Drosophila melanogaster: one gene and its partners. The protein of the gene in region 4 interacts with the protein of the main gene of each other region in a pairwise test. Each region holds a gene or a part of one and is shown on either strand. Other genes may lie near its edges.

What was found.
Region 1: the proteins of CG42853 (region 4) and CG5532 interact in a two-hybrid assay, tested with the Drosophila melanogaster proteins (one large-scale study listed by BioGRID).
Region 2: the proteins of CG42853 (region 4) and CG15211 interact in a two-hybrid assay, tested with the Drosophila melanogaster proteins (one large-scale study listed by BioGRID).
Region 3: the proteins of CG42853 (region 4) and CG10311 interact in a two-hybrid assay, tested with the Drosophila melanogaster proteins (one large-scale study listed by BioGRID).

What each region holds. Positions count from the first base shown.
Region 1 is NT_033778.4:23,749,861-23,754,846, reverse strand, and holds CG5532 (uncharacterized protein), read right to left. Parts: upstream 2,094-4,986; 5' UTR 2,018-2,093; coding exon 1,942-2,017; intron 1,883-1,941; coding exon 1,620-1,882; 3' UTR 1,332-1,619; downstream 1-1,331. Other genes in the region: CG11300 (uncharacterized protein), read right to left, coding at 2,425-2,898; CG12491 (uncharacterized protein), read right to left, coding at 3,689-4,162.
Region 2 is NC_004354.4:10,769,463-10,779,181, forward strand, and holds CG15211 (uncharacterized protein), read left to right. Parts: upstream 1-3,078; 5' UTR 3,079-3,164; intron 3,165-3,305; exon of another isoform or gene 3,306-3,335; 5' UTR 3,336-3,536; coding exon 3,537-3,704; intron 3,705-8,498; coding exon 8,499-8,666; intron 8,667-8,748; coding exon 8,749-8,946; 3' UTR 8,947-9,519; downstream 9,520-9,719. Other genes in the region: BTBD9 (BTB (POZ) domain containing 9), read left to right, coding at 1-524, 593-1,039, 1,101-1,610.
Region 3 is NT_033777.3:16,350,301-16,360,313, forward strand, and holds CG10311 (uncharacterized protein), read right to left. Parts: upstream 6,716-10,013; 5' UTR 6,500-6,715; intron 2,060-6,499; 5' UTR 2,032-2,059; coding exon 1,789-2,031; intron 1,732-1,788; coding exon 1,578-1,731; intron 931-1,577; coding exon 830-930; 3' UTR 486-829; downstream 1-485. Other genes in the region: Manf (mesencephalic astrocyte-derived neurotrophic factor), read left to right, coding at 117-283; CG17931 (uncharacterized protein), read right to left, coding at 8,242-8,311, 8,383-8,488, 8,835-8,841; CG42446 (uncharacterized protein), read right to left, coding at 9,324-9,343, 9,398-9,533, 9,593-9,808.
Region 4 is NT_037436.4:18,119,178-18,124,784, forward strand, and holds CG42853 (uncharacterized protein), read right to left. Parts: upstream 2,813-5,607; 5' UTR 2,751-2,812; coding exon 2,258-2,750; intron 2,201-2,257; coding exon 1,839-2,200; 3' UTR 1,755-1,838; downstream 1-1,754. Other genes in the region: CG7341 (uncharacterized protein), read left to right, coding at 640-1,713.

The DNA of each region.
Region 1 (4,986 bases), on a different chromosome or scaffold from region 4:
CGAACTAGAAACCAAATTGGCATTGAAACATGCACACACATACCAGCATACAAACACACACGCTCCTTCTCTCACACCACCACACACGCATACACACTGTTTGAAGGCAAAACCGATCGAAACTACATCAGAACATCTTTAACTGTAGCAATTAAGTATTCTATTTGATCAACAAGAGTGGCATGGAATCAAGAACGCATTCTGCATACTAAAACTAAGACAGCAAAATGGCAAGAGTGAAACAGAGTAATTTGGCAAGTGGAAACGCATGGAATGGAACACACGCACATACCACACAACCACAACCACCCACACAATTCAAAATGGCCGGCGTCTGCAAAAAATATATATTTATCTAATGCATACGAAATAAAACTTCCCAAATTAGCTCATTGTTTTTGCACGCCCCACGAGAATTGTATGCTACCACAATCACTAATTTCCTGCGTTTTTCTCTCTTTCTTCCTCGCTTCCGTTTCGTTACCGCATTCCGCATCCGGCATCCGCAGTGGTTAACTGGAAGCTGTTTCCGTTCTAGTGAAAGTGTGAAAATGCAGCCGCATTGGGGGAACGTTTGGAACTGGCACGCAGACGTCACTGCCATCGAAATTGGAAGAAGTGTTTGCAGCTTAAAGTGTTTTTAGCTAGAATTTATTACTATTATACTCTGTACGAAACCCTATTGATTTGTTGTTAGTTCTAGCCGCAGCTAATTCTAATTTAAATGATTGCCTGTTTGCTGAGGGCAACGCAGCAGCCAGCAATGTTGTTATGTTCAGTACACGCATATATTATGTAATCTAATTTAATGCAAAATGCAAACAATTTTGTAAAATAGTACATATAATTCTGTAAAAACTTCATCTACACATGCACGCACTTTCGGCAGACAACCTAAATTATTTCTTGAGCCACAAATCAATCGAAAGGAAATTTAATAATAATCCCACTTTCCAATGTGATAAACATATATAATTTGTACACTCTACTTAACAAATATTTATCGTTTCCTGTTGGGAAAATGCTAGAAAGGTGGAGAATCGATAATATACTTACCTTGCCGCACTTTGCCTGCAGAAAACTCAAATTATTCACTTCATTATTGTAATAAACTTGTTAGAAGCCTAAATTCTAAAAAAAAAAAAAAATCCATCACTCTACGTTTACCTAGCCTAATGCTCTTTTCATGCAGCAACAAAATGTAATAGCTAAGTTTTAGTTGTAGTTAACTGAACATCGTATAATAGATGAAACTGTAAATTTATCACACACACAAAAGAAACAAAAGCTAAGTTAAACAATAAATATACAAAAAAAGATTTGAATGTACGAAATGGTGTATTTCTGTGCTTCTATGCGAACTGTCATACCAAAGTGCCTGAAAGTATGCTATTAAATGTGACCAAGTATTACAATTGAGTACAAAGAAGTCCACAAGTTAAAAGCATAGGTGATAAAATATATTTGCAGCAAGTACAGTTCCTAATCACTATCTTAGAAAGTGACACAGCGCATTACCAAAGTTCCAATCACCGAAAAGTAGAAAACCTATTCAATACGAATGAAGAATGAAGGTAGGGCAATCTCCTGGCAAGTCCAGCATGTGGCCGGAAATTAGCCTAAGGGGCCTTTGTGCCGGCGGGCATTAGGTAGCGATTATAGGTGGCCAGGTTCTTGACCAAGGCGGCCACGGATAGCATGCACACCATTCCGGCGGGCATCAGTTTTCCGGATCGGTTCCAGCGGGCGCCCATCAGCCCGGCCAGGAACAGGGAGGTGCCCAACTGGAGCAGGGGACGAGGCGTGTCCTGGGAGTTGAGGTGGGCGCCATAGCCGAGCAGGGCTCCGAAGGCCAGACCAGCACCCAGCGAGGGAATGGAACCTGGAATGCAGGGCGTTGCACAATCGGACATGACCACGGTCAGGGGGCTGGTCACTTACCCGCCTTGGCGTATCCCATGATTCCTCCGGCGGCGACCGTGGCTGCGTACACATATCCGAACCAATCCACCGGCATTTCGATTTATTTTGATTAAATTTCGGGGTAACCTTTGTTTTGGTGAGAAGTGGAGGTGTTAGTATGACCCTTCCTGCCTTAGTAGAAAGAAGATCCGCTCCGCAGTGCACGAAATTCAGACATCTGGCAGCACCGTTTCGCGGTCATTTTGAATTAAATATGTGCAACGAACTTCCTAATCAGAATATTTATTTCAATGTTTAGAACGCTTCTATTCGAAATATTCATTGCAATGTTTAGAAAGTTTGTTGGGCAAATATAAGTTAGTTTACTAATGTATGCATTACAAAAAGAGCGATGGTTCCTCTAATTTAAAAAGCCATTCAATACATTTATGTTTTTTTTAGATTTATTGCATTTCTGTCTGGAATTTTATTTCAAATTCGTAGCCAACATGTTCGTGAATTTTACAATAGACGACGGTGACGGTGTACACGGCGAACCACTCGCCCCTGACCACCACCTCCATTCTGATTACTCTGGTTGGCCTGACGCCTCTCGCGGCGGAGCTGACGCCTCAGCCGGCGCAGCCGACGCCTGAGCCTAATCACTTCCTGGCTGCTGCTGGATCCACTGTCACTGGGCGATGTGGGCGTAGCTGGTGATGTCGAGGAAGCGGGCGCATCAGGAGTAGCTGGCGAGGACGGTGTTCCAGTCGCTGGAGTTGGCGAGGTCGGTGTACCAGCAGCTGGGGATGCTGAAGGTGGTGTTCCAGTCGCTGGGGATGGTGAGGGCGGTGTTCCAGTCGCTGGAGGTGGCGAGGTTGGGGTTCCAGCCGGTGGAGATGACGCGGGTGGGGATCCTGCCGCAGGTGGAGAATCGGCGTAGGCAGTTGCTATTAGGGCCAAAAGCCCAAAGGCGATAACGAATTGGCAACGCATCTTCAGCTCAGTTTGTCACTAAATGGAGTACTGTGTGGATAGTGGTTTAAATCCGAGTATTTATAGGGATGATCCACTTGATTCGCTTTAATTGTCGAATCTGTGTTTGCTTTGAATGTTTTAGAGTACATTTTACGTTCTCGTCAAGACAAATAGATTAAACTCAATAAAAAGACGAGACTATCTTCTCTGTAAGCGCGAAAGCTGTTGATGGCTGTGGAAAGTTCTAATTCGTTAGTAATTAAACAAAACGGTTTTTTTTTGGATTGGCTGGCTGAACGTATTGTTAGCATGTGTGCAAACACGGTACATTGTTTATTAAATAGATGAATATGTATTGTTAAGCCTTTTGAACAGAAAGCCATATTTAAATAACCTCTAAGCTTAAATAAAGATTAAGATGGCATATTGTACATAAAGAATGAATTCTCACTAAAAGAAAACTTAGAACAAACTCCTATTTTTCACTTTCATTTGCAAGTTCCTAATCGATTAAGTTATCATCTGGAATTATGTCTGCACTTAGACCAGTTCCACTTGATCAACTAACTAGATCGGAAAATGATTTACTTAGGATTCTTCATTAGAGTATATAGTGTAGCCTTCTTCTTCTTTTCCAAGATGAAACCGAATATTGAATTTCTTTGTTTGACTAACAATTCGATCCAAATGATTTCACTTGTTTTTAAGGTGCCAAGTTACCAAGTCATAACTACGATTGTTGCTTTTGTGTATGCATTTATTTTTCAATTTGGACCATTTCATTGTTCGATCGGGTTAAGCCGATGGTTTATCCCCTACGTTGGCGCCTTCTTCCAGCACGACTCTGCTGGCGCCTTTCCTGCTGCCTCTCCCGGCGAATCTCCTGGCGCCTCTCCTGACGCCTCAGCCGCCGGAGCCTGCGAAGCCTGCGCCTCAGCCTGTCCACCTCCTCGCTGTCGGAGCTCGTGGAGGAGGAGGACGTGTCGCTGGACGTGGAGGGGGCCGTGGTTGTGGCAGTCGTCGATGAGGTGGAGGAAGTGGGCGAAGTGGAAGAAGAGCTGCTAGGAGTGGAGGACGAAGTAGACGTAGTGCTATTGCTGGACGGAGTTGAGGTGGAGGACGAAGAGCTGGGTGTCGAACTTGAGCTGGAAGTCGATGGAGTCGATGAATTGGAAGTGGGTGATGTGGAAGAGGACGAGTCGCTCGAGGATGAGTCGGTGCCACCATAAACGGTCGCCACGAGGACAACCAAACCAAAGGCCAGGACGAATTCGGGTCTCATCTTAAGCTCTGTCTGTTGAACACTGTACTCAAGTACTATACAGCATCCAGATCTGTGTCTGCTATTTATACGATCTATCTGGAGGGGTTTGGTCCAAAATCTCAATCTGTGCGTCGTCTTAGTTTGATCTTAACATGTGGCATTTGCGGCAGTGTTTTGTTGAACAAGGTGTGGAAAGTTCCTATGTTTGTCGAATCTACAACAGCAATGGAGCTTCTATTTGCGCAGTGTTATTTTTAGTGGATGTGCCAATACGGCTCAAGAAGAAAGTGCTTAACTTAGAGGATGTTTAATATAAGAACATTTAATATTAAGCAAATATTAAGTGCTCTATCACATTTATTGATGATTAAATCTTTCTTTGAATAATAATATGCTGCTTAAAAGAGAACACGAAGTGACTCTGCTTGCATTGTAGTATTCATTTTAGGAAAGCCAACTTGAAGGATTCTGGGTAGAATGGCCACTTTACCCTTCCTTATCTTACGAACTGATTGTTCCTATTGTATTTAGTTATTTTATTCAGAATAGTCCAATTACCTATTTTTGCTTAGTCACTTCTTAGTCAAAAACTATATTTGTCTAGTGCCTGTGCCGTAGATTGTTTCAGAAAATCAACAACTGCTTCAATGTTTAACTTCCCAACAATAACCTTTCCAGCTTTCCAGACGTTTTCAGCAAAACACTGGGCCACGTGCCAGATGCTAAGATGTAAACCACCCACGGATTGAGATTTTGGACCAAACCCCTCCAGATAGATCGTATAAATAGCAGACACAGATCTGGATGCTGTATAGTACTTGAGTACAGTGTTCAACAGACAG
Region 2 (9,719 bases), on a different chromosome or scaffold from region 4:
TTAGTTATGTCCGCCTGCCACTGATGAACCTCGAGCATCTGCTGCAGGTGGTGCGTCCCTCGGGCATCCTGGATCCCGACAAGATTCTCGACGCCATCGACGAGCGCAGCACTTCAAAGGCGCTGCCCTACAGGGCGGCGCTCTGGCCGGAGGAAAACGTGGCCGCGGAGACGTTTTTGTCGCGCTGCATCCAGGGAGAGTGTCGCGACGCGCTGCTGGATGGAGATGTGACCACCTATGACATGGAGAACGGGTATACGCGCCACTGCATTACGGACAGCAAAGATGCGGGCATTGTGGTCGAATTGGGCACGTTCTGCATGATCAATCACATTCGCATGCTGCTCTGGGACAGAGACAGCCGGGCGTACTCCTACTACGTTGAGGTGTCCGGCGACCAGCAGCATTGGGATCGCGTGGTCGACTACAGCGACTACCACTGCCGCTCCTGGCAATACTTATACTTCGAAGCACGACCCGTCAGATTCATTCGACTGGTGGGCACCCAGAACACTGTAAACCGGGTAAGTCAGCAGTGATCTCTTCAAACTTTCCCCATTCTTTAACTTTTTCCCTTTCCATTAATATATAGGTATTCCATGTTGTGGGTCTGGAAGCCATGCACACGGCCAAGGTGCCGCGTTTAGTTAACCATTTTGTGGCGCCCAAGACGAACGTGGCCACCGTAGAGATGAGCGCCATTGTGACGGACGGCGTGAGTCGCACCCGCAACGCGCTTATCAACGGCGATTATGTGCGCTACGACTGGGACTCGGGATATACTTGCCACCAATTGGGCAGCGGCGAGATCGTCGTCCGTTTGGGCCAACCCTACTATTTGGGCTCAATGAGGCTGTTGCTGTGGGACTGCGATGATCGCACCTACAGCTTCTACATCGAAATTTCGACGAACCGCAAGGAATGGCAAATGGTCGTGGACCGCCGCAACGACAGGACCCGCTCCTGGCAGAACTTTCACTTTACTCCGCGTCCAGTGGTCTATATCCGCATTGTGGGCACACGCAACACAGCGAATGAGGTACGTAGCAGTGCAGCGCCACAAAACATGTCCGATAAGCTAATGCTCTCCTTGCTCTTAGATCTTCCACTGCGTCCACCTCGAATGTCCGACCCAGGACAAAAACTACTTAAAGAAGATAGCCGACATGGAGAAGGAGCGCGAGAAGAGGGAGAAGGAGAAGAAGACGGCCAAGACTGACGATGACAATATTGCCTCTACCTCGGGATCCTCGTTGGCTTCAGGCCATGCTGAAAGTCCCTCCACTTCCTCCAGCAGCAGCCAAAGCGTTTTAAGGTCCATCCACTGGCCGCCACAGACAAGGGAAGTGGCCGTTGCCCCACTCACTCCGCCAGCACTCTCCCCGCCCGGCACGCCAGCACTTCCGGCTCCTCTGACCCCGGCAACCTCGTCGCCGCATAACAACCATGAACAAAATCAGCCAAGTAATATCAGTGCAGACGCAAGCCACCACACCAGTCCAAGTTCAAGGAGCAACCCCAGTCCCAGCCTAAGTAGGAGCAGAAGCCAGAGTGCGGAGTTGGAGCCAGTGCCGCCATTGGTTGAGCTTGACACCAGGGAGACGCTCTGAGCTGATCGCCGCTGCGGCCGATAATGTTTTGTACTTGAAATACTCCTGTGGTCTGTTAGCTGTTAGTCTCCGCGCTTAGTTATATTTTGCAGACCGTGCTGCTCTTGTTATCTAGTCCTTCCCAGTGCCCCAATGCTTGGTGGTTCCAAAACCTGTGCATTGCATATTGGTTTTGCGTTATTACCTTCGTTATATACTATATGTATATACATATATATATATATAGATATATGTTTTTATAATTTTATTGTGATCCAAAAATAATTCCTTATGTTTGCAAGGCAGCAGAGTTATTTATATAAGCAATATAACTGAATTCTATGCACACACACACCCACCCACACACACACCACACACACACACCACACACACACACACATGTTTAACGCGAACTCGAATGCGATTTCCGAGCAGCTGAACCAAAATTGTATACGATATCCGATCGCATAGTATAAATCTGTACTGTCTAGCCTTATGTCCGGTCCATGTCCTTGTCCAAATCAATCCATTTGATCCGCAACTCGTAGTCTTTAGGCTCATCGAGCGGCCCAAAAATTAGGCTCTATTTATTAGGCAAATTTTGTCATAGTTTGTATTGCACGCAAATAAAAGCTAACCAAAAAAATGAAAACACCGCTTATTGTTTCACTTGCAAACCAATCGGTTTCTTATAAAATTTTTAAAGTCCCTCACACATTTCAACCACGAATTGTGCCGTGTGTGACCACTGTGCACCACACATGCCACCCACTGTTGCCCCAACATCCACAACACGCTCCACTGTTTTGAAATTCCGATCAGAGGCGACCCACGGCCGTGCTGCAGCGGCAGCCATAAAAGTCGAATCAGAACGTTAAACCAGTTGCGACGCACAGTGGGCGTTGGGAAGAGAGAGAGGGACGCCGATCCAGCGAGCGAATCAGAAAGAGATGGCGAAATGCAGTGCTAGCCAAACGGGAATTTGTGGGTTCTTGAAGAAAACTAAAAAAAAAAGAAAATATTACTCATACGCCGCGTTGTCTACATGATTTAATAATATATATTGCATATTTTGTACGGATGGTTTTAATAAAATGTAAATGTTTTATTGAGAAATCTAGACAACTGTATTTATTTAATAGTTTTACTTTTATTTTGGAATGAACACAATCACACAATACGGTCAATCTGGCCCACTGTGCCGATTATAACAGTTAGCGGCGCAGGCGCAACAAACTAGTTTGCCCCACAAGCAGCGGGGAGTGGCAACTAAGGGGGGTGGGGGGTGGTTCTATTTAGGGCGTTGCAGGGGCGTCGTCAAAGGGCGCGCGCAACTAAATAGCCAACTGACTAACTAACTAACTGGGAGAGCGCGAATGTGAGTGTAAGTCCGAGTGGGAGTGGGAGAGCGAGCGTGAGTGCGCTAGTGTGGAGCGGAGCGGCGTGCGGTTAACCGTTAGCCTGCAGCGGCGGCAAGTTCAGCTCGCAGTTCAGTTCAGTCGACCAGCGGCCGCCGTGGACAAAGCAACGTAACGCCAAAGCAATCGCAGCGCAGCTCATGGATATATAGCTACAGTTAACTACCAGATACTAAACTACACACATTTCACCACATACCCAAATATACCCACCACACGCGGCATATATCTCTATATATATATTTGAGAATTAGAGGCGTGGGGGTTTAGGGGGTGGGGTGGTAACTCGCGCGAGGGCGTCACACGCGTTCATATACATCAGATATAGATATATAGGGTAGCTGCCGATCGACCAGCGAACATATAGAAAGCGGTGGTTATTTTTCTCATCTTATTTTATTGTGACAAAAATCGCGACAAGTGTTTAAAAATAGTTGTTGTGCCCAGCTAATAAAGTAAACTTGCCCGCCAAACTGAAACTGAAACTGAAACTGAAACTAAGCCAAGCCAAACTATAAACAGCAACAATATGGTCGAGACCGTTGTCAATATCGAGCGCACAACAACAACAACGACGAACGGACCGCCAGGTGGAGCGAACCCGACCGTTGGCAGCGGTGGCGGCTTCTGGAGCGCCATTCGCCTCAACATCGACTATTTCCGCACCATACCGGGCATCATCAAAATTGTGGAGTTTGTGAGTACATACAACTAGCTGAGATATATCACTACTATATTTTTATAATTCATTATAAAACAAATGAAAATCTAATACTTAATATTGCAACATATGATATTTCGAAACTATTGAATACGATCCACTTGAGTAGAAGTCTTTTAAAAACTGAAACCAAAAACTGGGCCAAATTTCCAAACATATCAAAATTATGTACATTACATGTTTCTAAACTCTTAGATTTAAAATATGCATAAATGTCGGTTTAAATAGAACTTAGGAATGCGATTATGTTGAAAAAGTACCATAATGTACATACATTATTTTGTGGAATGCTAAATTCAGACATAAGTTTCCGAATTTGGCTGTTATCGTATTTCCTCGAAACTGATAGAGCCTTCGAAACATAAAGTTTCAGAGGGAAATATTAAAATATACGTTGGATAATTGTTGTAGAGAAAAGTTAGAATTCCTCATAGCACTCTTATCGTCATAAATTGAACGGTTTTATCTAGAGTTTGCCTTCCGCCACCATTCTTTATCGAGATATCTCGAGACTTAAGAAACCCTAGAGCCTCGATGTGTACTCAATTACACAAATATGTATACAATATGCCCGACAACAAGTGTGTTGTGCACTTGCCCCTTTTGTGTGTACATATGTCAGGATCTCATTAGACTTACGACGGATAAGATAGGGGTAGACAAGTTGTAGGAACTGCAAACATGTGAGCTCCATGGCCATGTGGTCAACTCATAGCCCTCTTCTTGTATTCCACAGACGTTAAACACTTAACGCATTTGGCCTGGTATTCGAAGCTATGTATGATCTATCTTTTTTCCCACAAATCCGCAGCAAAATGAAGTTAAAGTGTGGGCGATGCAATCGGTATGCGACGCCAACACAAGGTACTCGCAATTATATGAGTGGGCACTGGGGTAACTCAACTACCGCTCGGATGGATCACCTGCTCAGGTGTAGAAAGTTTTCAGGCAAAAATTTCTCTATTCTCAATGGGCCAACGCTTGGTGGGCACAAGGTCAAGGGATAACGACAAGTGCTTGGGACCCACATGAAAAATGCATTATTAAGCGCTCGTCAGTTGTTACGGAGAAAATCAATAGCGGATAAATGGGAGGAGTGCTGGGTGCTTCGATGATATGATTACCGTCACAATAAGCTGTCGTTTATTAACTTATATATATTGATTTTCTGTTCTGAAAATCGGCTATTATCAGGCGACTAAGCTAGTTTAGCTGACGGCTGACGAAGTAATTTGCGGATGTTCTGGTAGGACTTATTTCCAATTCATATACTAATCTGACCAAAAAAGGAAAGCAAATACTTGTCATTCAAATATGCTTTGATTTCACCAATGGCTAGTTAATTTTCTTTTTCGGTTAGCGGTGTGCCTGTCGATTGGGATATTTTTGTGGCAACTAATCTTATCGGTACCCTTAAGCGATAGTCTGCTGATAGTCGTCTCAGCGCAGTGTGAAATATGTAAAAGTGCTCCACTTGAGAGTTGCCACAAAAACAGGGCCGTAATTGCAGCTGCTCGTTTCCCAAATGCCAATTGATAGGTATTAAGCCCGTTAAATAAATAATTCAAATTGGGCCAAATGGCGGGAAACTTGACCACTTTCATGGCTATCTATTTTAAGACTTTTGTTTCTTGAGCTTAACTAAATTATATTAGATTATTGGTACTATAGTTCGAATTTGACTGCAGTTTTGACTGTTTTCACCGATTGTGACTCATTTCGAACAATTCTGCGAATATATTGAGTGCCATAGCTAATCGCTCGTTACTCATACGCACCGTTATCCGAACAAAGTGGACGATAATGTGGCGACCACCTGTTTGCGAGCGGAGAGGAGCAGACCGACGATATTTTCGGTAGCCATGCTCCTGCTGATAAGCCAATCGATTCCTGACACCTGACTGCCGATCGTTAATTTGCCCACGGACCATTACACATACTCATCCGCCCAGTGGTCCCAAATCATACCAACAACAACAACAACAACAACAAAGCCCCCGAAATATAACGCTTCTTTCGTATCTTATCGTTGGCAATTAGCATTTTGGACCCAGCATTGCCTCAATTTACTTACCATACATATTCACGCGATGCCCCAAGCATATATGCATTCCATGGCCAAGTGTGCTCTATATACATATATACGTACATACACATCGGAATATCTACGAGTATATGCAAATTCGGAAAGAGAACGATTTATTATTAAGTTTTGTTGGTCGCGGTCCCTGCCGTTCGAGAATATTTTTTTTATAATAGCCTAATTACGTAAGACGTGTATTTTGGAAGCTGCCGACGGCATTCTTATTGTTTGGCATTGTAGCATTGTCGTGGATTTTAATTTTAATACGAATGTTTTAGCCAAAAGCGGAAATTATGACACAAATACGGGGTGTCATTCAAGAAATTGTTAACCACAAAAATGCGGGGGAGGCGAAGAGATCTGGGGAATTCGAGCCGAAAGTCACTTTAGACAGATGCTGGCGTTTGTTGGCGGTTTGTTGATGAAAATGCGATCGATCGTTGTGGCATCATGTACAGTGCATGCCATAAACGTAGGCTGTTTGGCTTGTAGCCGAAAGCAGTTAACTTAAACTATCGGAAATATAAATTGTATATTGCTACTATCTTATGGGCGCACTTTTTCTGAAACCTCAAATCTTATCCCTTTTCAGTTATAAGTTTCAGTTAGCGTCTTGCCTTACAGCTGCGAAACGGACTGCACTAAGTGCACATGGCTATGCAAATACGTGTGTGTTTGCAAACTGTGTGCTTGGGTACATTTTAGGTAATTGACGCTGACTAAGTGTACGGCGCTCAGGAAAGTGAGCTCATCTTTGAAGCTCCGTCTTGGCCCTGTTAACAGATTGTTAGCCAACAAAAGGGAGGGCATACATATGTATGTATACAATTCAAGGGCATTGATCCTTCTATTAGATAATCCAGTTATGGTTGTCCATTAACTTCGAACTATATATATATTTGTACCACCACAATTGGAATATTTGTTAAACATTGCGAGGATATTAGCTTACAGGTATTGTTTAAACTTTAAGCTTTCGAAGAAAGAACATTATTTATACATATGTAGTTGGAAGTTTGTAATCTAACGATCTTGTTGTTTATGTGCGACCACTAGAATTTCTGTGGCTTCCATTGAACTTCAGACGAGGCAGACGCGGCTAGGAACCGTAGACCGTATAATCGGAGGCCAAGAACTCGATCCATTTCAGTGGCGTTTCGCGTCATTGAATTTCGCTCGAAAAGTAAATAATTATGTTGCTGCCCCGATCGATATACCCAGATGCACCCAACTCTCTACGCAGTTTTTCATGCTCCACAAGGCAATTTGATCGTTGCCATGGAACTAAAGATTATGGTTATATGTATATGGTTATAAGAACTTTCCAACCGTGCACATAAGAACTGATTAACACATACAAATGTGTATATATATGCCAATCTTGTCGTTATATATACCTTATGTATGCATACGCAGAAGTAAAAATAAAAATAAAAAGCCCGCCATAAATTATGCTTAGAAAAGATAAAATTCGTATAATTCCCAGACGAATTTCTCTCTGGCTCTTTTATTTTTGAAAAGTGACGCACAACATTTGTGGATCACAAGTGCGAGGCTAAAAAAAAAAGTATATAAGTCAAATGAAGAATACGAACACCATTTGGAAAATGCATGAATCCAAGATCCAAGATCAACAAATCTCAACAAATCGCTGACAGTTCAATCAACCTTTGATATGCGGCTGCTGTGCAGTTAATTGTTTACCAGATAGCAAATAAGAAACACACACAAAAAAAAAAACAAAGGGGACAACAACAAGATGTTGCTATCAACAGGTCGCTTTTGGCCTGGGCTACAACTTTCAGCTTTCACTTTTCGTGTACCTTTTGTTTTAGCCAAAAACACAATGCTCAAGTCGACTGACTGCGCACACCTGTTTGATTTCTTATTTTGTTGCTGTGTCGCCAAAAGCTTATTGCCATTTAATTGCCTAAAACAACCACGAATGTGTGTCATCATCGGCACCTGTCATCCAGCTTTATGATCTTAGTGTTCCTAACTCACGAAATCGCCCTGCGAATTTGCTTGAAATGCGATAAGGTTCTCGAAAATGACTTACAGATAGTTCAGTATACATATATTAACAAGTTATTGGTAATATATACTGAGTCATTCATAGATACGGGATACTGTTACCTCAGTTTGTTTGAAATATGACATAAACTTAAGTTAAGTTGAGTAAAATGGAGTACCTAATTGTTTCTGAGCCATTTTACTACAAGCACATTTCCAAATAAATCTGAGCTACATATGTATCTATGTACATATGTATCTATGTATCTGTGCAGTGGCATTCTTTGAATTCACCGCTTAATTAGCTGGAGAACAAGGCGACATTCTGAGCACAGCCTCTAATTTTTCATGGCGTGCATTCAATTGAAGGTGACATCACGACATGCTCACTCCAGATTCGAAATCACGACCTTGAAGAGGCGCCTCTCAATTGGAGGAAGATCACGATCTGGGTGACTATACATATATGTATTACAACTAATAATATAAGATGCTATGCAATCTATACATCTCAAATATGCATTCAACTTTACCCTAAATAGACATTGCATAAAACTGCACAATTACGATTTAATGCGACAGATGGCGCTTGAATCTTAAAACTACTCGTATATTATTGCTTCTACTGCGACCTTGTACACTTACACATTTACCCATCTTTTTATACACACCAGGTGCTGGGCATCATCTGCATGGCCCTGGCAGCTCCTCCACTGGCCTCGGCCACCTCGTTCTTCATGTTCGTCATCGTCATCTCGTTCATCATCAACATTCTGCTGATCGCCGCCTATTTCCTGGGCATTCGCGAGGCCCTCAACGTGGCCGTCAACTGGATATTCTCGGTGAGTGACAAATGGCAACTAACTGCTCTGGATCATTAGTATGAACTAACCCACCCAACTGCTACTTTGTTTTGCCCAACAGGAGCTGATCACCACCGCTGTGCTGACGCTGCTGTACTTCATCGGATTCATCGTCCAGCTGGCCAGATGGTCGGATGCCACGGGCAAGGGTTCCGGTTCGAATACCGCCGCCGGTGTCTTTGGACTCTTCAATTTCCTGGCCTACGCGGCGGGCACGTACTTCCTGTTCCTGGCCCACAGGTCCGGGGCTACCCACTAAGTGCAGCCAACTCAGTGACTGGATCTTAGTCTAGAGTTATTTCTAATTGTTTACAGAATAAGTGCAGATCGAGTACTTGTAATTTTGCCTCTTTTTTTTGTACTTTTGTTTTTTGTTGTTAATTAACGTATGCAGCAGATTGACAATGGAAAGCGACATGGCTTTCTGTTTTTAATGTTATTTTTATTTAAATGGCTAACTAACGTTTAAGTCTTAAATCCACCCGCACAAGACCATATCTACGAAAACGAGTAGGGTGGGCAGCCCATATAGTACATAACCTTTTATCATTTCATGGCGTACATATAATGATTTTGTAATTTTTTTGAAATGTATTCAATCGAGACAAAATAATATACGTAAATTAATTAAATTTTTTTTGTTTGTCCTTCACATATAGTTGAATATAACGACTAGCTTAGCTTGTTGAGAGGATAATTAGATCCTAGTTAGATGTGGCCCACCCTAATCCGTACACACACATGCACCAAAAAGCAAAAAACACGCGATGATGAAAACAAACAAAGAGCGCACAACAAAGATTTGAGTTCAATATATTATTTGTATTTTCTCAACCACTGCGAAAGTGAACACAATCTGAAATGAGGGACCGACCACCATGTGGGGCGACCTATCAAATCAAATTATTAATTTACTACTGGGCTCGTGGGAGCAAGTCCTCCTCGACGAAGAGGTGGACAGTGTGTTCGGTTGGTGCTACGCCATCGTGGTGTGACATTTGCTGTGGCCGGGGCTGCTGCTGCTGCTGCTGG
Region 3 (10,013 bases), on a different chromosome or scaffold from region 4:
GGGTGTCTATTAGAAACAAAAACTCTTAACTTGGCTTAACATTTAGCTTTTCTGTCGCTGCTCTTCGCCTTAATATACTTCTATAAACATTTATTTATGTGGATTGTTCATTGCAGAGAAACAAATCGATCTGAACAGCGTGGACCTGAAGAAGCTGAAGGTACGCGACCTGAAGAAAATCCTCAACGACTGGGACGAGAGCTGTGACGGTTGCCTGGAGAAGGGCGACTTCATCAAGCGTATCGAGGAGCTGAAGCCCAAGTACTCGCGCAGCGAGCTGTAGAGCGCAGTCAGTTACTTGTGTAGTTACATGGAACACGCCCACTTAGCTAAAACAACAACCACATGAAACGCCCCCTACACATCCATATTTTTAGTTAATTTACAATTTTGATAGACTTTGAGAGAATTGAATATAACTATATATGCCTAAAGATAAAACCTATATTTTGAAATAAAAAACAACAAACACACAAGACCTCGTCCTCTCAAACGGTTGATAAATAGTTTGTTTTTATTTTTGTTATTAGTTTTCGGTTTTTGAACTCCTCTTTCACAATTACAAGTATTACGTACAAATTACAACAGAAATTCACATAATATCTGGATTAAAGTTTTATTTAAATGTTAAATACATAATTCCATTGCACTTAATGCCACGGGCCGCGTAAATTCGATGTGAGCGAAGGGCTGGCTCGCCTCAACTAAATTATAATTATTAGTTAGACATAATCACTAAAAACGAACATAGGAAGCTAGGATGAAGATGTGTGGGTGGTGGATTCAGCTTCTTGAATGCAATTTCTGATGAATAGTGCTCCTGGAGATTCTAGCGACGGTACGGCTGCTTGTTGTAACGACCGCGCTCGTTCTCCTCGGACAGGTTGGCGTATTCACTATAGACCACGCACCAGCAATAGGTCATAATCGCTGAAAGATGGAGGAGGAACATTGGGTTAGGGCATGTGCGCGCAAAAGAGTGCTGTCATTTTATATTCTACATGAATTGCATCCGATTTTACACGATGTAATGTAAATTGACTTTTAACTCGTATGTGGTTCATTTTCGGTAAGCACTTAATTTTTATCAAATTTAATATGCAAATTTGTAAAACTTGAAAAATATCATTTTTCAAAAGTAAAAAAAAAGCGAGGAATATATGTATAAACCTGAAGCATTCACAATGTGATTCGGTTCTTTAACTTTTATACCGCTGAATTAATACAATTAAATTTGTTTGATTCATTTAATGAGCTTATTTAACAATCGTATAGCTTTCCCAATAAACTCCTATCAAAGTTCTGCAGCTGACATTTCTACAAATGGCCTCAACAAGCCACTTTGCGCCTCATTTGCTTGCACCACCCGGCAAGTTACCTCCAAAATCCTCTAGTCTGCGGCGCCGGGGCACTTCTGTTTTCAGCACACGGGCAATCATGGCATGATAAATGCGTCTATAAATTAAAAACGGCTCGCAATAACCGTCATCCGGTGCTAAAAACCGCACATGGAGAAGTAGCAAGACCCCCCCCCCCCCCTCACCCATTTTTCACCAACCAAGAGGGAGTGCACTTACCGCAGACAATTAGGCCGAAGATCAGCCAGAGGACTCCCGTCAGCACGTAGCCGTCGATGAAGAAGACGATGCCCGTGTAGATGACGGAGATCAGCAGACCGATGGCAATCATAATGCCGAGGACCACCCATGGAACCATCAGGTAGTGGTTCCGCTGGAACATAGATAGATTTTTATTGTATGCATTTAATTAAATTAGCTGAGTACACACCTTCAGGGCACCAATGATCATGAGCAGCGATATCAAGATCGTCATGCACAAATTGATGACTAGAATTATCTTAACAATGTCATTGGGGATGAAGTCAAAGATTATCGTCTTGAAGTGCACCCGCGTCGTGAAGATCACCACGATGGTGATGATCGACAGGACTATCGCCAGTATGCCCGAGATAACGGAGCCATTCCGGGTCGATTGGCACAGACAGCACGAATTTAACAGTGGCTTCGGCATTTTGGCAAATCTATATTGTGATTACCAGCTGAAAATATTAAGAAACACAATCATCAATTTCAAGTACCATTTTGAACACATATAACTTAAAAGAATAAAAACACAGCAATAGAATAGTGAGTAAGTTCTCGATATACTCATGTAAAACTAGACAAAGATATGTTTTGTAACTTAATTGAAATATCCGAACTATTGCAAAAGTAAAGACAACCAATACTACAACATTAAAATTCCACAGTTTTACCAGTTGTGACGTCAAGCACACAAAAAAAATAAATGTTTATTAAACAAATGTGCTTTAAAAATAGAAGAAACAAAGAAAACAATGGACAGAAAGCGTGAAATACTTGAAAGACGTAAGCTTTATATTTATGGAAGCTCTAAAATAAATCAACGACACGAATGACTAATTTAATCGTACTATTCCTTCAGGGATTCGAGCTGGAATGGCAGTAGAGATGGCGAGCTTGGGAAAGTTTATATCATCGGTGCATGCGCACACGATCGGCGGAACTGGTACGAGTATACATATGTGGGTTGCACCCATCTATCCAGATAGCGAAATAGCGCCACCGGGCATTGTCATTAAATTAATCAAACGCTCAACGTGCCTCGGACCGGCTGCAGATTGATGTGGCGCATGTTGGCACTTGCAAATGCCGCTGCAGCTGGTTTGCATCCATTGGATGCGGGCACTTGTGTATCCATGTGATATATCTGATGTATACATGTGGCTCACGGCGGTCTTGGATGAGATAATCACATGCCAAAATATCTTGTCTTACATGGAAACGCTTTGAGTCATTATAGAAAGGCTGGCTGGGAAATGCCTTGGGCAAACAACTAAAGTTTAGCGAACAGATACAGATACATTTACAGATACCATTTGTATGTAAAGCCCATTTCCGCTGAGTTTCACACCTCAAACGACCTACAACAACACAGTGAAGAGATGCGAACAATCTGGGCAACAGAAGTGTTATACAAATTGCGCAATTATCAGGGGCGGCGGTGAGGGTGCGTGCCGAAGATCACATCACATTCTTTAAATTATAGCAGTTCAAAAACTTTTTTTTATAGTTTCGTCACAAACTGGCGGCGGGGCTCATAAACCGGACATATGGCGCATTAACATGCCGTTTACACGCGTTTCGCACGGGTTTTTAACTCAGACGATCTCCACGTTTGCGTCTGTTTATAAATGGTACCTCAATTGGATACAGATCCGAGCAGAAAGCATTTGTCTGGTTTCTACAACTCAGACAAACGTCTTGGGTTACTTTCTGCGGCAATGCGATATCGCTGTTTTGACCTGGTTAGAAGAACAAACCCAAGTAAAGCTAAGATACTTTAGACCTCGGCGAACAATTAGAGACTTCTCCATATCAGTGGAAAGGGGTAGACAACCTCGATATGGAAGCGATCAGCCCACTCATTCGTTTAATGGCGTTAATATTCGCAATGAACTCATCTAATGCTGACGTTGACTTCCGCTCGCCTCACACAAAGTGGTTTTACTATATGTATATATAGGCGTGACTCGCAGCTTTTGGAGTCAAGTTCAAGCCATGGCGTGGGCGACTCTTTCCGAGGAATTCGTGCCTCCACTTGACGTAGGCTTGGAGTCTTGGAAAGTCTTCTGACTTGACAAGTGCAACTGGGCAGTTGGACGTGCACTACGTAGCTGGATGGAGTTGCTTTGGGTCTGAAGTGTGATGGTGTGGGAGTAAAAGTGTGGCGGATGCTGCCGGTTTTGTGAAAGGTAAAGTTTGTCGACAAACAAATTAAAAGGCATTGGGAATGCACTTACTCAAGCATGAATTTTTGACGTTTTTCATGGAATACATCAATATTTTATATTTATTTTAGAAAGTGGCTTTAGAAAATGCAAGCCAAGAAAAGGAAAACAAAAAACATTTACCGCAGGCTGCAAAATTTGTGGGTCAGACCACGAAATAGTAGAATGGTCTCAGAACGTAGTCATATTGTAATTATTGTTATTACTTTATATGAGATAATAACTTTCAATAAAAATTTATAATACAAATTATTTTAACTACAAGTATTTACAATAAAATTCAAATTATAAAAACACAAGTAATCATTTATCGTATCCCATTAACCATAAGCTGACCCATTTGTCTAGTAAAGCGAAGTGAAATAATGCTCATATAAATCATTTCAATTGCCATTGCCTTTATGCTTGTGGAAAATGGGTTCGATCCACAAGTAAATGCTAATTTTCGTGTGCAATGAGCACGTGTCCAGCTTTTAAATATGTATATCTGACAGATACTTTTTTGTGTGCGGCTATTATCTGTTGTCGTGGGCCGCAAAACGGAGCCAAAGCCAATTATTCTCGGCTTTGGCTGTTGTCGACTTTATCGCCATTCGAACTTTTGTGACCCTGCTGCCCGCTGAAGCCCGCAAATCCACTCGGCAATTAGTTTGCGCTTCAACGCGTAATTAAGTTTGACATTTTTCTGCGCTACTTTTTGCGCCAGGCACAAAAGTTATCGAAAAGACAAAGTCATTTTGTATGTGGCTGGAAATTGCTCAATCTACAATCTTCGACAGAAAGTGGGAGCTCACTTGAGTGGCCGGGTCTGTTTTTTTTTTTCATTTATTTAGGTCCATTTGAAACCGGTAGAAATCGTTCTACCAAATTTGACAGGTCCAAAGCACGCCGCATTTTTGTTTTTTTTTTGTTTTTTTTATTTCTGCTATTCCAGCTCCCACTTGACTTTTTGTCTTTGATTTTTTGTCAAATTGGCTTTTTTCCGCGGCTTTTTAAACATTACTCGACTTGCCATATAAATCAATTAAAACCGTTGCAGCTGCAAACTCAATTGCAGCCTTTGAAGTTTCCGTTTGCCGAACAAGATTTTGTAATTACTAGTGGCAGCGGCGTCTTTTAGACGCAAGATACAAATGTGCGCGCATCCATGAGATACTTTTCGTTCTGTCGACACTACATAGTTTTCAGGGTCAATGAAGCCGCGACATTGGACGCGATCAAAAACTCAATTTTCGGGGATCTTTCGGATTTTGGGCTTTTCGTTTTCCCAGCCAAACGAAAGTTAACTCATAAACAGATCGCCCATCAAAATGATTCATATATAAAAACACGAAACACTTATTAATAGATCACAAGGTCGCGAGCAACTAGAAATCTAGAGAGTCGACAAAAGCGGTGGAACTTTTGGAACAGCTCTCACAATCTCTGATCAGTGGCTGTCTGGGGTCAGGAATGGGACTCCACCTTATGATTTTCAACACCTGTTCGTCGAGAATTCTACGCCCATGTGCCATCTCGTATGGCGTAGGTGTGCGAACGCCTTGGCTTGTTCTGCCAGAATATTTTTTGTCAAATAAAATTTGGTGGCGTTATCTGTTGCCTTGTAAATTGAGTAACCTTCACATTGTTCATTTTTCACTGCTTCCAAGTGGATGCGCGTCACTGAACTTTGCCAAATGTGGATGGATTAGAAACAGTTTTGTCTTGAAGACCGTTTATTTCCCTTTATAATTACTTCCCAGGAGGAGTGGCCACTTAAGATTCAATGAACGACGCTTTCATTTGGGGCTTTGATGTGATTTTTATGGTTCGCGACTGAGGCGAATAGCCAAAATGTGGCTCAGTTGAAATGTATGCCAGGCGCGCATATTACGTATACGCCCCCGCACACCTGAACACTGGGCTGGATGGCCCACTTATCCCTAAACTCGCAACGTGTTCAACTTGAGGTCCCCAAAAAGGCAAAGAAGAAGGCTTTCAGGTTGTCGCCGTTCGCAGACTTTCAATGTCAGTTCGCAATTCTGACATCACCGAGTGCATCGACTATATAGATCGCTATGCCTGCAGCAAACAGACTGACTCTGTTTTCATTAAGATGCATTCATTTTCTCTGCCAATTTGGGTCAGCGATCAAACAGTGGCATTATTGTTTTCCAATTATTTATACGCTGCGGTTTTCTCAATTTTACCGCAGCTTTTGCGGGCGCTCAGAAAAGTAAAAAAGTCAGGGGGTTTAGCTATCAGCGATCATTTGAATATTGAAATTACTGGACGGCCAGCCAGCAGCGACAGCTTAATGAAATTGAATATATTTTGTATAAATAAGCACATACAACCGCAAGGCAGACGAGCGCGCCTCAAGTCGGGTAACTGGCTGTATAGTATAGATAGGTATATGAGTATATGGCTACTGGGGGCTACCTACTCCTCCCACTCCTCACGCCGCCCTTCCCCGAGAAACACTTCTGTTTGATCACACATATGCATATGTATCCACCTCCGGGGGCCAGCTGCTCGCCTGTTATTTCAATTTCGAGGCGATCGTTTATCACTCGATTTGCATGCGACGGCGATCGATTGATCTCCCGATCCGCCCAATCGGCTGCCAACTGCCTGCATTTCTCCGCTGATAATGTCAGTCTCCTGGCAGCCAGCCATATATTCACTTACACTTTCTAATTTATTTTTGATTTGATGGTGCAGCACTGCTAAATGCAGTCGAGGGAAATCGATTTGATTCCGCTGATTCGGCTGCCTCCTAACTAATTATTCTCATATATTTGATATTTGCCTCCTCCAAGTGCGTAGCGTTTCGAGGCGATTTGGATCCGACGACTTGCGCGCGATTTCGATGTGAGTGCGACGGGTTTCACGGAGCGACTGAAAACGCGGGCTGCTGCCGCCAACGTGAGAGCCGACTCGCGATCGCGATTTTTCACATCTGCGAGCGTTAGTTGATTTTTCCGCTCGTTCTCGGCTAGCTGGCTGAAAAGTTCTCAAAACTTGGACGCTGTTTTTAGTTAAGACAGCTTTTGCGTGACCGGCAAGAAGCTTTCTCCGAGGCAGAAACAGCAGAAACCAGTTAGGCGTTTCGATGGCCCACGTTGCTCTGCTGTTCCGGCATGAAGATATCAAGCACTTGGTCAAACAATGGTGAGGCGATCTTCTACAGCGCATTGCACTAGCCAAGTCAAACAAATCAGTGGACGTTCTCATTACATCCGTGTTGTTTTCCTCGTTGAAGGAACTCGAGATTTCAGCCGAAGATACATCAGCACGCCATGACCCCATCTGCCTTTATTGGCCATGAATAAGACCGTGCACTGTGGCACAATGTATGAAGATCTATTCGAAAACAGATAGGTATTCCAAAAGATAAAAGTCACAGTATTTAAGTTTCAATGACTTAGTTTACCAGTCTTGCGCAAAATTCGTTGTTGTTTCTTGATATCTTTTCTTATACATAAATAAAATAAAATTAAACTAAAACTGAAATTTTATTTAGCAGCATGTTTTTTGTGTGCATCTGCCAGTCGTTAGTGGCCAGGTTTTTGGTCATTTATTCTGTAAAAGGTAAATGCTAGCAATCGACTTATTGGCATCTAGGCGATAGTTTTGTGGGGCAAGCTTTGGCATGCAGCTACTTTCATATTTATCAAATCGTGCCATTTACAAATATCCATATTCCATTGTATGCAAATTTCAGCATGACTCGAGGCAAATTAAATACCTCATTAGGTCATGCTTAAATCAGACCAGGAAGTTTAGTAGGTCGTATCCAGCGCCCTATTCATACTCCGATTTTAAAGATCTAAGGCTTATATTTAACATTCTTGAGCTATACTTATGGGGATTGCTCTGGGATTATCAATCTTTATATCTCTCTCTTCGGCGACCATATTTGCTAGAAAAGGGATTCATTAGTTAAAGTTAATTTTCGGTAGCAATCGACCGTTATCGAGTGCCATAATCTATATATATATTTTCGTCAAACACAATAACACATAATTGAGTCTTTCTGTCGGCTGCATATTATGTTTTATTTGAAAATTTATATATATACATTACAGTAAATAATTTAGTCAGGTAGGTGGAGAAATAAAATGTAAGATTACTTAATTATCGTACAGCAGCACTGCAAACGAAAATGAACAAAAACCGGAACAGAATCGAAGTCCTTGGGTGGCACTTGCTATTGCTATTGCTATGTCGCGTGCTGTACAGCCCGGTAATATCTATGCGTAGTTGTATACAATTCTCGTGAATTATGTATGTTGCTTCATGTACATTCTAACCAACTATCCTAGGTCCTTGGGCGAATCGGGGTCTTGGCTGACGAACGACTGACTATAAGCCTAACCTGTCCGGAAATGCAACCGGGAGTCCAGATCTCTATCAAGCCAGTGGGTTGACTATTTGCTTGTGCCCGCCGCAGCGGCCTCTTCCTTTTTTTTCTGCTTCTCCCGCATTAACTCAGCGTCCCTGCGTTATGGGTTGGTTTATTAATAATATTATATCTTATACATTATACATTGAAAATGTAAATCACTCACCTGGCCTTCCTTTGCTCCACGGTGAGGTTATCGGTTCGCTTTCCCTTGGTCAAATCCGCCTGCTTCTTCTGGTTCTTCTGGCGGGCCAGGTCTCGTTGGTTGCCGCCTATTAAATTGGTGATATTATAATTGGTTAATACGTGGCAGCTGGTTAGTGGCGCGTGCTAAATGTGATCTACATAATCTATGAGAGGTTAGAGGCGTTCACATGTCCTCTGCTTGTCCATCGATTTTTGCCTGCTCTATACGCGAAAACCCAGGATTACTTTCGGGTCGAAATTCTAATTCTCTTATCATATTTTGGAGATTACGATTTTGCATGACACTGGAGGTAATCCTAGTTAATTTGTTATTTAGACGAATAGATAGATATACATATGTATGTGGATCTACATGCACATTTAATACATTGTGCAGTATTAACAAAATGGCTTCATGATGCCCTTACTTACGTGTCATTTTTAAGGCTCCTTCTTGGTTCTCGACTGAAAATAGCTACAATTTTGATACACTTCTACTTTTGAGAGTAGTAAATTTAAGTTGTTTAGCGTTATATTAAATATTCCTGCTGCTTTTCGAGCATTCGAAGTTGATTTGTTTTTATTGAACGATGTGTCAAAAGTTGGAAGACACTAACGCGTTAGATGCGCACAGGCACTAACGCGTGGTAATCGATGGGCAGCACTGGTGTGCTCAAAATGAGCACAGCTGGTATATTTCCCGGGACTTCGGTTGATATTTAAAATATAATTTCATTGAAAGTAGATTTAAGCTAGTGTGATGTGTTTTGTACAATTTTATGCATGCTTACCATGACAAATTTTAAATGAATATAATATCCAACCGTCCGAGATCGACAATTTTCACCAAATTTATAAATATATATAATTATATATTGAAGTTTGAGATTTATTACACTACAGTAGTAATCCAGGCAGCAATCAAAAGTTGTACATAGAGTCTAATAAAAACAAATCTTATTGATTTTAAATAAATCTATCCATTGCCAACTGACCTCGTTTGTCATTGTTAGTGATAGCATATCGTTCCTCGAGATCTTCGAAAATGGACCTGCTGCTCATTTCATCGTATTCCCTTCTTACAACCCATATTTCCAACGTGCTCAGCAGCACAAATTTTGTATGGGCGCTCTTAAAATAACGAATTGTGCAGATTTAACCACCATATTTATTAACAGTATATATATTACCTCCTTTGGGTGATTTCCAGACCAAAGACCTATAGCATCCAAATATGATTTAATCAGCATTCGCCACACCCAATACATGTGCATGTCGCCAAGTTTCGGTATTGGTGGCACCGTAACTCGACTAACTAATTTTGCATCTGCGCAGTCCCCCATAATACTGTATTTTACTGATCTGAATAAATTTTGAAAAAACCGAAAAATTGATCTAAAAACCATAAAGACAGAAATATCATTACGGTGTGACTGCCCAAATTTCGAGTTCGAAAGTTTCAGTGGTGTCTCAATTTTAACAACTGTGAAAAATTGGCTATCAAGAGTTAATAATCAAATTTTTTAGGTTACCCCATGAAATATCTTAGCCTAACTCATAAAAGATATTCTTTGCATATAAAATTACACAAATGACCCACGACCACAGGCG
Region 4 (5,607 bases):
TAAGCGGTCGATGGCAGCTAACTTTTATGGGTTCAACACAGACATGGGCCAAAAACTAATTACCTCGAACGGAGTTTTTACAGGGGAGCTGAGAAAACTTTTATGGTCGGTGTGGTTTCGGCACTTTCAATATAATTTTTAATGTCATTCTGCATAGGATTTGAATACGGCAATCGATAAAATGGTCTCTTTCCATCCGAGAAAGGTTTTATGACACTTTCGGTCTGAGCGAGTTAAGGCGGAAAATTTGTTGGCCCATAAAAGTGCAGCGTCGTCTCTCAAAATGGGTAACAAAAATTATTCATAGTGCAGTTGTCATTTTCCCTCAACCTCAATTCACTTCGTCATGTCTGGGTAATATAAGTAGTGTGGATCTCGCAAAGTTCCTAAAAATTTATTACAAGGAAGTTACAACGCGAAAAACAACAAGTTTACAACCCGAATATATTTCATTAGTAGATATTTACTTATATTTATAAAAACAAGTATTACACCTAACCTATTTTTGCAGATAAGTATTAATTGAATATAGAAAAATGGAAAAATATTAATTAATTTTTTTATCAGTTTCATTAAGTATTGTTTCTAATTTAGTAAAATACTTTACTTGCAGTGTATTTTTGAATTGCCTTCAGCAAAATGCGACCCAAGGATCACCCTGATCTGCACTTCGACGTGATTCCCAAGCTCTACGATGCCCATTCCAAGGTGTTTCTAACCAGCTTGTGCGATGTGGATGAGCAGCTGAAACTATTGCCACGCCGATTCTGTCGGATGTACACCACTCGGCCACTGGCCACCCAGCTGTTTCAGTATCTGCAATCCCGCAAAGCGAACGTTTCGGAACAGGACTTCCTTGTGGTGGAGGAGGGCCAGCCCTTCGCACTGCTTCTGAAAGACGGAAAACGGTTGGAAGGGATGCTATGCTCTGGAAGTCATCTGGGACACAGCCTCATTCTGCTTATCCGGCGGCAGCAGGGTAACAGATTGCTGTACTGCTACTCGGCTATGAGGCTGGATAATCTTGGTCGTCTACTGGGCAACTCTGTCTTCAACTCTTGGATCGCCCAGGGAACCGAGCAGCTGTATCTGAATCTGTCCTCTGTAAATTTGCCGTTTGATCATATTGATTTTGATGAGATGGCACATTTCATCGAGGATCTCGGAGCAAGAAATGACCAGAGTATGGTGCACCTGAAAGTGCCAAAATTTGGCTACGAGGAAATGTTATGGAGATTGGCACACACAAGTCTTCGCGGGCATATTCATTTGGGCGACCACATTGCAAAAAGCTATGAGTGCCTTAGCATCGATCTGGAGCGTTTTCTGGAGGAAAATTATGTACCAAGGGTTTTCGTCAGCGGTTGCCCGACGGACTTTAATCACTATCAAAAGGTAGTTTCCTTGGATCTAAAGGAACTAAAGTGGACACCGACTCCGACCAGGATGCATCTTCGGCAGCTATGCAGCCTCTTGCGACCTCAACACATCCAGGGGATTGTTCAGTTTCATACGGATGGCATTGTGCCTCCCATTCCGTCATTCCTAAAGATCTTCAAGGCAAACTATTCACCGCAGAGTGGTGCAGTGGTCTCAAGGATTAGGAGTGAATTTCAAGCAGGACAGCCGAAGCAAGGACCCTATCACGCTTTCCGGTCCAGAAGGGCCTTTGAATTTGTGAACGATGGCGACGAAAGCAGTAGTTCGAATTAGGTTAAAGTATCTCCCTATTAGAATAAGCAAGTCGTGTAGCTGTTGTTCCGCACAGTGCCCCTAGGAGTTTTATTTATCCAAACGCTTCACAATATATAAAAATAAATTATTTGAATTGTCTTGAATTAATTTTTTTGATCAGTAAGTGTATCTTCGTCGGACCAGGAATCGGCAAGTCGCTCAAAAGCATCAATGTCTATTTCCTCCTTTACTTTAAAGGCTTTAAGATCATCAGCCGCATTCTGGGATTCCTTGGTAATATCACAGCCGAGTGAGAGATCCATCCCTTCTGGTTGCTTTTCAATTAGCTTTATGGTGTCCTCGTTGCACTCTTTTAAGGATTCCATGTCCAATGCATTCTGGGTTTCGGTCGAAGCGTTTACTTTGGTAATTTGATATTGTTTATTAAATTTAGGAAGTTGTACAATATTTGATGAACGTCTATTCATCTCACACATTTTGGGAATTGTGAAGAGTAGAAACAGCCCTGATATTTGAATGAATTTTGTTATTTTCTTTCATTATTTATTAATGATAGACTTACCTAATTGGCCAACAATTAGAAAGTTAATCTGCTTTCCAAGTTTGCTAATTATTAGGAGAAGGCCAAACCACTTGAATGATTTCGAAAAGCTCTTTACTAGTAATATCTCTCGTAGATTATTTAGAAACGCAACAACTTTGGTTGAAACTAGAACACCCAGTTGCTTAGATAACTCCTGGGAGATTCTTAGGTCTATGTCAAGATATTTCGGATAGCTGTTGTTCTGGATATGGGTATTAGTGTACTGTACCAAAAAACGGTACCCCATTGATATGACCATGATAATCAAAGCCCATACGCTCACCACGAACACAAGCGGTTCAGAAAGCAGATCATAAATTATGGTCTGTAGCATTACGAATACAAGCATCGACTTTATCCAGTTGCGCCACAGGATCAGCTCAGTTATTCCCTCCCAGATGCAGATGAGTTTAGCTTCGTTTACCTCCGCACCGGCTCCAGAAACTTGAACAGAGTTCGCGCTTGTGGCCATATTTTTTTTTTTTTTGAGTTTTTAAGACCTTTAGTACTGAGAAGATATACAAATTACAAAAACTTGGATACGATTGCAACGACAGTAAACTATTCGAATACTAGATTATATTTGTTTTCTATACCCATCACGCGTAGAGTACTAGATTTGTTGAAAGGTTTACCTTTCAGATGGATTCTTTATATTCTTGATCAGGATTGATGGGCTAGTCTATATGTATGTACAATATATACTTATGGCTGTGTCAGTCTGTCCGTCCGTATAAACGTCGAGAGTCTGTGAACTATTAAAGCTGAAAAGTTTAAATTAAGCATGCAGCTTGTTTCACATCCACACATTATTAAATTATAATGTGGAAATTATTGAAATTACCACCACTAACTGAGTAGCTGCCAGTTGAGGAGCTCGTATATAAATATATATATTTATATACATCTATATGCTATATAATACGAGATGCATGTCAAGTACCACCGATACAAGAAAGATCCCAACATTTAACCGCCAAAAGCACCTGTTGCCAATTCGTGTCATCTGTTTAAAAATATCCTTTTACATGAATTATGCAAATTATTCATAAATTGCTTTGTCTTTGCTTGGGGTTGTAAATGGGTTTTCGCAGATACATAATTTGATTGAGTTTGAGCTATCCTTTCTATCGCAAGATATTTAACTTCATATTCTATTTCTGTAATCGGTGATAATAAATTCATTTTAGCTTCTGCTTTTGTACCTATTTCTCTAACCATAGGCAATTTATGTTTTTGAAAATTAAGAATTACTGGTCGTATATTTTCTACTTGATCCCTTACTTGAACGATTGTTAAGTCAAACAGAACGCTTTTCAAGATCTCTTTGTCACAGCTTCGTTCGCGTTTGATCCGCACCGTCAACAAGGTCTTTTATTCCAATTCTTGGAGCATCCTGGGCAAATAATTTTGGCACGAGGTGTGACCAACGCCCATTGAGGGTGTGGTTAATGACACTCAGCCTTCTGTCTGCCAAGTCAATCGCTTGCCAATTGATTTGTCAAAGGCATTACGCTAATATTTTGGGCAAATACGGGAAAAAGTCACTGGCGTCAAAATGACATCGAGTGGTTTAACTTTCCACCCTCAAGATTCAGAAAATAAATGACTTTTGGGGAGGGTAGAGAAAAGAATACTAAAATCGGAATAATTTAAATCAATCGTTCAAAAGCTTTTGATCGCTCGCAATTGCTAAAGGGTCCACTTAATAACAGTAGTATATGTTATATATAAAAAACTTTAAAAGAAAATAGTAGATTCAACAAAATATGATGAATATAAAATGAAAACCTTTCAGTTTGTCGTAAAACAAATATTTCCAATATATTAATCCTGTTTAACAGTCCAACTATTCCCATTTGTAATAGACATTTGTTCATCACCCATTTGAGATTACTTGAGAAATCCTCGTAATTTCTGCCGTCTTCATTTAGAATTACTGGAATTAATATGCAAACAGCAAAATCGATGTATTTGCACATGTATGAATGCAGTTTAATTAAACCAAATTCCCCCATAATGCTCACATCACAAGCTGTACAGGATATTAGAATGTTTGACAAGTTGTCAATGCATCAAGATGCAGAGGACAAGGCAGAAAATTGGCCAGAAAATCTTATCGTTCATTTTGAATGTAAATTAAAACAAATACACATAAAATTACTTAAAACTGCATTGAGTTTCTTTGGCTCCTGTCACAAAATGATGGCCATTTCCATGCAAATGCCTAAAATGTAAAAGGTCGCTAGGGCACGGCACTTTATTTACTTTATATACTTTATTTTTAGATTTTTTAAATATATAAATATTATAGCCAACATATTTATCACACCGTTTTGTGCTCTTTTTATAAGATTCTCCAATTGTTTTTTTAAAAGGTCAAGAAAGGGGAATAGTAAATTGGTTCACAGATGTGACCAGACCAGATTTCTTAGGGTAGTGTCATAAGGGACATAAGACAAGGTCAACGTCTAAAAACCACCTGAAAATCTCAGCAAATATTCTTCTTTCGGCCCGATAAAGTTGTCATACGAGTTCGGCTCCTTCGACGCATTCCCTTCGACTTCTTTATGGCCAGGCGACAATGTCAGGAATTTCTTGTATTAAAATCGAAATGGCCAAGGGCCAGAAATCCATCCCAGACATAGACAATCGTATCTCTGTGAGATGGGGGCCAGTGAATATTTGGGCTTGCCCCTGAGTTCCGGCCGTGTCCTTACAGCTGTCAACATGTTTAATTGAAACTGACACTCAGTGTCATTTTATGTACATTGCTATGCGTTGCCGTTACCTTAACTGTAACTGTAATTCGACTTGGCCAAATCCAGCTCCATTATTGCGGAACATTTCGAGAGGGGGTTGTTGGCCCCCCGAATCTGCCCGTTTCGGGGGTCACATCGCATTGCAATGTAAGTTGCTTCCATTGTGGTGTATTAGTTAAATTTATATCCTTGGACTTCTCTCTCGACTATTTTAGCTAAAAAGCAAGTCCTCTTTAATTTGAATAATGTTAAAAATAAATCACATTTTGCAGTAGAGTGTTTTTTCTCTGTAATTTAAGCACTAACACCTTTCTATTTCATATTTTTCGTTATTTATTCAAGCGATTTTTACAAGCTGATACCTAATTTTCTTTTTTGCATTTTTTGTCAATTTAATACGGTCTTTATGTTCTTCGTACTGGCAGTTCTGAGTGCTGACTTGATATCTCCTTACGAAAACCCCCATATCATCCATACTCAGCGGAATCAGAAGAACTTTAGCCCCTGCAACACTTCAGCAATAATAACCCCCCGAACTCATCCAAACTGTAATTATTATTGCTAAGC